2 linked regions of the Xenopus tropicalis genome follow. The protein of the gene in region 2 purifies or fractionates together with the protein of the main gene of each other region. This does not show direct contact. Links are inferred from orthologs where the notes say so. Each region holds a gene or a part of one and is shown on either strand. Other genes may lie near its edges. The genes, in order: grb2 and erbb3.

Region 1 (3,923 bases), on a different chromosome or scaffold from region 2:
GTAGTGAAGCAATCAGCTTTGCTTGCTCTCCAGGCTGCGAGTAGCTACCAATCCCCACCCCTCAGCACAGGCCCGGGTAGCCAAAACAAAACATGTACATCCACATGAAAGGGAAAGTAACTGCGTAATTGCCTGGTTTACACAAGCACTTTAGCTGGATGCTGCTGCCTGACCGTGTGGGGTTAAGTGCTTTATATAAATAAGCCACACTGCACATTCAATATATTCTCACATACATCTAATCCACAAATAAAGTGTTTTAAAGGGCCCGTTTCAACAGCACAACTAGATGTTATGGGGCCCAAAGCCGATTAGCTACCCTTTATCAGCAGATTCCAACCCAATATGATAGGTTCCGAGCCATGTATTTGATCGCTGAGCATGCAGTGATCAGGCCTATATATTCCAAATGCAATCAAGCCTGCACCTCTAGAGTCCATAACAGGTGAATAGTGTTATTCCAAGAAATTTATAACCCTGATTGTGGCGTGTATGGGAGTGCAAGACAGCATAAAAGATAACAATGGGTTAACCACATACTCATAAGAGGAAATGCAAATAACCAAGACTATAGCTGTGTTACAATATAACGAAGTGAACAAAGTACAAATTCATCAAGGAAGAACTAGTATGAAGAAGGAAACAAATAATGGCCACCAGGTGGCGATGTTGCCACCGAAACCTATGGGGGGAAAAGGCTCGCACGAACTAAGTTCAATGGCAGCCCCCATCCTGCTAAATAAAGCAGAGGGAAAAAGATGTTCCGGGTACATAATTAAGCCAGTAAACAGATAATAAATATAAATAATAAATGCCGCATGTTGCAGGCATCTGTCAGAAACCAGCAGGGATGCGCCGAATCCAGTATTTGGCCAAGATTCAGCCGAATCCACAGTCCTGGCTGAACGGAATCCGAAAAATCACCAGACTTTTTGTCATGCAAACACGGAAGTTAAACATTTTTTGCCACGCGTTGTGTGCAATGCTAATTAGGAATCGGTCAAATGCTTTATATAGGATTTGGGGGTTCGCCAGATTCGGTGCATCCCTAGAAACCAGCATGTGAATTATACCCCAATCTCACCACACTGCCCCAGATTTGATTTCCTACAGTAAGTAATTAACACAAGATAAATATATACATACACTATAAATATACATGCAGCTGCGCCTCTAGCCCAGATTTTCTTTCTCCCACTTGCAACAGCAGGCGTCCCCTCAGCCCTCACATACAGTCTATATCCCCCCCCCCCCCCAGGTTTGGTATATATCCTCCAATCCCCCTTCTGCTCCTATAGCCCAGCAGGTCTGTATATCCTACTCAGAGTATAGGTCTTACACCCAGTGGCAATTCCCATTCACTTCTACTGGGGGTGAATTATAACATCTAAATGAGGGCAATTTGTCCCCCCAGAACAGACTCTATTCTTCCTTTCCCACCTTGCCCTTAGTTGCCAAGTCTGTGTCCCCCCCTGCCCCTTGTCTGGAAGCCAGTATAATATTTGCCCTATTTTACCCATCATCATCCTCCTCTGACAGTTCACTTCTCCCCTTGCTTCACCCTCATTAATCTCAATTTCCAGTCTATTCAGCTACTCAACTGTCCCTGTTCTGCCCCTGGTTTCACCCCCCCAGCACATCTGCTCTCTCTCGCTGTGTTACCCCCACTATGGTATCCCATCAGCAGTCTCTTTTCCTTTGTCACAGCTGTCACACACTGTTCCCAAGACACAATGCTCACAGTCAGCTATCACTCAGCAAAGGTTAATTAAGCCAATGAGGAGTCTGGTAGGGATGCTAAAAGCCAATCATACTGTGTGGGCCCATCTGACCCCACCTGGCCCTATCCACATGCTAATGACTGTGACTGCATATATCATGGCTGCACAGAAACCAGTGTAGCCCGCAGCACCAGAGAGTGAGATGTCAGTCCCGGCAAACTATCATTTCTCCCATTACACAGGTCCCCTCCTAAGGCTTGTGGCCCTATAAATGAATGTACAAGTAGGAGGGCCCCAAGCTGTGTGATTTCCCTACCCACTTCCCTTCTGAGGAATCCTGATATAGATCTCCCCCCCATCAGTTCCCCTTGCATTCAGCCCATCTCAGCACTTCCCTCAGTCTCCCCAATTCCCCCCACTTCCCCTTTCTGCCTCTCTCCCCCCAGCAGTTCCCTTACCCACAGCCACTGGCTGCTCCCGACCCCTACCCACAGCCACTGGCTGCTCCCGACCCCTACCCACAGCCACTGGCTGCTCCCGACCCCTACCCACAGCCACTGGCTGCTCCCGACCCCTACCCACAGCCACTGGCTGCTCCCGACCCCTACCCACAGCAACTGGCTGCTCCCGACCCCTACCCACAGCCACTGGCTGCTCCCGACCCCTACCCACAGCCACTGGCTGCTCCCGACCCCTACCCACAGCCACTGGCTGCTCCCGACCCCTACCCACAGCCACTGGCTGCTCCCGACCCATACCCACAGCAACTGGCTGCTCCCGACCCCACACCCGGCAGCCCCTCATCAGCCTCCCCAACTCCCTCACCCACTCTCCTTCCCAACAACATCGCTATCGCTCTGCGCACCCCTTCAACGGGCGCCACTCCTGCTGCTGCTGCTGTTGTACTACAGCTCCCACTATCCCCCCTCCTCCCTGGCAGCCCATGGGACTTTCAACTCAACAACAGCCGGACACCCACCCACCGCTACATCGACTTCTACGACACGGCTGACACTCATCTCCCCACCTCTCGATAGAGCTTTTCAGAACCCTCACCGAATTCCGCGGAGCCGCTTCTCCTGTCTCTCTCCCTGGCCGCTTCCGCTCCGCCCCGGGGCAGATCCTCCCGCGATACTTCCGGGGCTGCGTGAGTCCCTGCGAACGGCGCATGACGTCATATGAGACGTGAAACGCAACGCACTTGAGGGGCGGGGCAGCCCATGTTTTGTCAATACGGCTTGAGCTTGGGACAATGACTGCGGTTATTTGGTTATCTATAGTCATGTGTCCAAATGGTCACCAAATATTCACAACTCTCCTCTTGGCTGTACACATCACTAATAAACCTGTAACTCTCCCCTTGGCTGTACACATCACTAATAAACCTGTAACTCTCCCCTTGGCTGTACACATCACTAATAAACCTGTAACTCTCCCCTTGGCTGTACACATCACTAATAAACCTGTAACTCTCCCCTTGGCTGTACACATCACTAATAAACCTGTAACTCTCCCCTTGGCTGTACACATCACTAATAAACCTGTAACTCTCCCCTTGGCTGTACACAGGAATTATGGTATTTTTCTCCAGAAAAGGTGGCAAGCCTACACAGAACCCTATCATGGTGACTTCTCCCTGTGTGTTTAATGGTGTCCTGTGTGAAACCCATCTATATCTTCCCACATTCCAGGGCCAGTTTAAGGTAGGGTTGCCACCTGTCCGGTTTTGATCCAGACAACCTGGTTTTGGGAAAGTCAAACCCTCCTGCATTGATTCAGTGATCGGGCAATTGTCATGACCCCGCCTCTCCCCCCACCCACTTTCTCAGCTGGCAGAGGTGGCAACCCTAGTTTATGGGTATGGCAGGGGCAGCAGAAGATGTTTTTGGTTGGGGGCCAGGAGAGGCCCCACTTGTGCCGCCCACCCCTCTGCCTCTGTTTAGCCACAACTTCCAAAACCAGGGGGGGTGAGGGTAATTCTCTCCCCCAGTTCCAACGCCTATGGTGAGGGCATTTGCGCCATTGGTCAGTTAAGACCCCCTCACAGCAGGGGGTGTAGATGTAAAATAACACATACTACATTGAGGAGCAACTGATAGTTGTCTTACTGGAAAAAAAAAATACAGCGACCCTTTAATACAGTTCCTCATGTTGTGGTGACCCCCCAACCATAAAATTATTCCTAAGAACATCAGAAATATG
Region 2 (3,823 bases):
ACAGAGCTGTACTATCCAGGGAAGGGTACAAGCTGTAAAAATGGCCAGAACTCAGTCTTTCTATTAGCCATTTACTTTTTACTCTGTTTACATATTCCCAAGCTAATGTATATTACTTTACCTCATACATACTGTTGCTCCTTCATTATTTATATAATGAAAACAATTTACCAAAAGTACTTTTAGTATTATGTAAATAGTGATATTCTGAGGTAATTTACAGTTGGTTGGTTGCCCAGAGTCCATATACCCTAACGAGCAGGCAGTGGTTTAAATGAGAGTGTGAATGAGAGTAAATGAAATTAAAAATTGCAGCAGAACAAATGCATTTCATGTAATTGTAACATAATACTGGCTGATACAGTCTGTTTTCACATATGGATATTTTGGGTTTAAGATGACATTTGCCACTTTATGGCGTCAGGGATATCTTTCATTTCCATAAGGTTTTGGGCACATGCCATTTTTCTCAGCAAGAGTTCTGAGTAGAGGATTTCTGTGCTATACTCACCACTTTGACTGAGCCCTGGCATGATATACTCGCTGTCATCATCAGGGGTCCCAACAAGGAGGCTCTCCCTTTGGGATCGGTATGCACTGTCAAGGCGAGAGCGAGAAATGTGGCTCAGGCTCCCTCCGCCATAGGAATTATCCTCTATTGTCTCCAGGTCTGAAGAAGTACAACAGCCCTCTGATGACTCTGACACTGTTCGGCCAAGTGAGTCTTCTCTTCTGCGTGTCCCATGTCTTGGAATTGGTTCTGCAGAGGTCATTGTTCCCTGAAAACAGCCCACATGTTAGAAACCCCCCATCTACATCTTCCCAGATGTTCATTTTCACTCTTAACAGAAGGGTTAGTTAAGAGTAATGCAGGCAGAAAACCTTGCTGTCCCCTATATGTAATAAAAAGTACTAAGTTTTCCCAGCAGTGGTAACCCATAGCAACCAATAAGATGTTTGCTTTTAAATAGGTGACCAGTCAATGTTTCCTGCTGATTGGTTGCTATGGGTTACTGCTCCTGGGCAAACTTAGGGGCTGATTTACTAATCCACGAATCCGAATCCCAAATGGGAAAAAATCGTATTGGAAATTAACATTTTGCGACTTTTTCGTATTTTTTGCATTTTTTTTCGTAGCTGTTACGACTTGCACAAATTGTCGCTACTTTTTCGCAGCCGTTACGACTTGCGCAAATTGTCGCGACTTTTTCGTATTGAGTCGTAGTAAACGGCAGGCAAACCTTTCCGTTTTTTTCGCGACGGCTACGAAAAAGTCGCGACAATTCGCGCAAGTCGTAACGGCTACAAAAAAATTGCGATGGCGACGAAAAAATCGCAAAATACCTATCATTACAAAAAAAACGCATTCGGACGCTTTCGATCCATTCGTGGATTAGTAAATCAGCCCCTTAGTGTCTTTAATAACATAACCCCATATGAGTTTTGTTGTATTGCTATTTCCTAGAATGTATGTATTCTTTGTATTTTGGAGCATAAAAATGGGCTGTTAGCATATCTTGGTGTGTAATCTGTCAATCTGCTCAAGGGCTTTTGCTGTAGTGACAAATATATACAAAAATATAATAAATCCAAATATAGAAAATTAGGCACAAAATCTTTTCTATCTTTTTAGGCATAGCTGTCAGTACATTAATGTACACATTAAATAAACTTTATTGGGAAAGGAATAAAAATGATCTTAGTTAAGTTATTCTACATGCCGCCTTAAGTGGTCATTGCTATTCTTTTTTTTTACCCCAAATTTACCTTTCTTGAGGAGCTGCAAAGACTCTGGTTCATAGGCAGGTACCCAGCGATAGAGCTCAGTGCACTCTGACTCTGAAAGGAAAGCCAAGATTTAACTTACAGAAAAAACTTACCATTCCCCCATGTGCAACTTTATGACTGTGCTATTGCAACTGAAAGTGCTACGTATAAAAAAAGATATACATGCACTGCATGATGCCTGTATCCCTCCTTGCCCAAGCCTTTTTGATAGGCTCTGTTTTCCTTACCCTAGAGTAGTCAATTCTTTGTCGTGAGGCATATAGGGTAGTTGGAGTTTTAGGCTGCATTGCCATGTCTTCAGACTCAAGGTCAGTGTCCACGTCAGACTCCAGATCACTCACTTGTTTCTCAGACAGAGGTGGTGGATCCCCTGGGAGTGGGGACTGAAGTGCATCACTATTGCGCTGTTTGGAGAAGAAAAGAGATGTCATCAAGGTGCACAATCATCAAAATAACATTTTTTTTATATGTATTTTTTACATGTATTTGGTCTTTAAAAGTCATTTCTTTAACTTGCTTGGGTATCTGTCATGCTATATGGCTGAAATGTGGTTTTACTTTCATTACACCAGCGAATAAGTAAGAAAAAAAAGGAAAAGATCTGGAAGTCTCCAGGTTTCTATTATTTACACCAATAAAATTGTATAAGAAGCAGGTCATACTTAAATGGCAAAGATAAGAAAGTCAAAAATATGAAGAGCAAACTGTATCATAGCACTTGTGATTTGTATATGTAATCCAGCAATAATGGAATTTTGCACCCCTGAGGCAATAATAAATGATACCCAGTCAATAAGAGATTCATCTCACCGTAACAACCAGGTAGCGAGGTGGATCCCTAGCCATACGGGTGAATTCATTTCCGAGTTCTTTAAACGTAGGGCGAATATTTTCATCAATCATCCAGCCTAGAAAATAGAGAATGTAACAGAATCAAGTCAATCAGGCTCTTACAGTTTGCTGTTTAATAATAAAACAGTACTTTGTACTAAGCTGCATGAATCCACATTGATGGCAAAACAATACTGTTAGGTTTAAGGAATGTTTAAATCATTTTTAGCAGACTTAAGGTATGGTGATCAAAATTACGAAAAGATCCCTTATCCAGGATAACCCCAGGTCCCAATCATTCTGGATAATAGACCCTATACCTGGATATCTCCTACATGAAAGCCTCCGAGAGGTTCTAATGATCTCTATGTACTGCTAATGCCTAAGAGAGCCCAGATTAGCAACGAATACCTCTACTTACATTTCACCATTACCATGTAGACATCAATGGTGCATATTTGTGGTTGGGATAGTCGCTCCCCTTTCTCTAGGAGGTCAGGAACTTCTGACAAACGAATCCCTGTGTATGGTTCTGCACCGAATGTCATCATTTCCCATAGAGTAACACCTTTTTGAGGAACCAAAAATAAAGGCATTGCTGACTATTGTTAAGAGTAAAGGCAGGGCAGGTAATGATATATAGTTCATGACAGTGTGAAGCACAATAATGCCTTGGGTATCTGTTCCACGTACCATAGCTCCATACGTCACTCTGATGAGTGTACTTCCCAAAGTGTATACTTTCCAGAGCCATCCATTTCACGGGAGTCTGCATAGTACCAAAAAAGGTACATTAAAAAAAAAATAAAAACAAAAGTACAATTTTAATCAAATCTCAAAAATTTTTCTCAGTGAACTGGATAGTTTGATTTTTTTCAGAATTTGATTATAAATCAGTGTATGTAGAAGTAAAATAAACAGATACAGGGGTATGTACAGGCCCAGCCTGGGATTCAAAATAGGCCCTGGGATTATAATTACACAGAGACCTAAACAGCCCCCATGAGCCCAATAAATAGTGACTCTTACAGGAGAAGGCTCTGGCATTTGCCAGAATCCACAGATTACCAGTCCAGGCCTGTCCACAAAAAAAAATCCAAAAACCAAAGCAGGTAAATTCCCCTGACACATCCATGCTAGAAACTATAATGCCGGATGCACCTAGAACAATTGTGTTAATTTAAAGCTTGTTGCTAAAAAACAA

What was found.
Region 1: the proteins of erbb3 (region 2) and grb2 purify together in Homo sapiens (affinity purification with mass spectrometry; 3 studies listed by BioGRID and IntAct, with this or other methods). This does not show direct contact. The link is inferred for Xenopus tropicalis from reciprocal best matches to the Homo sapiens genes ERBB3 and GRB2.

Annotation. Positions count from the first base shown.
Region 1 is NC_030686.2:44,468,189-44,472,111, forward strand, and holds the start of grb2 (growth factor receptor-bound protein 2), read right to left. Parts: upstream 2,769-3,923; 5' UTR 2,749-2,768; intron 2,724-2,748; exon of another isoform or gene 2,701-2,723; intron 1-2,700. UniProt on the Homo sapiens protein: Non-enzymatic adapter protein that plays a pivotal role in precisely regulated signaling cascades from cell surface receptors to cellular responses, including signaling transduction and gene expression.
Region 2 is NC_030678.2:137,680,203-137,684,025, forward strand, and holds part of erbb3 (receptor tyrosine-protein kinase erbB-3), read right to left. Parts: intron 3,389-3,823; coding exon 3,313-3,388; intron 3,188-3,312; coding exon 3,041-3,187; intron 2,697-3,040; coding exon 2,599-2,696; intron 2,193-2,598; coding exon 2,016-2,192; intron 1,840-2,015; coding exon 1,768-1,839; intron 780-1,767; coding exon 512-779; intron 1-511. UniProt on the Homo sapiens protein: Tyrosine-protein kinase that plays an essential role as cell surface receptor for neuregulins.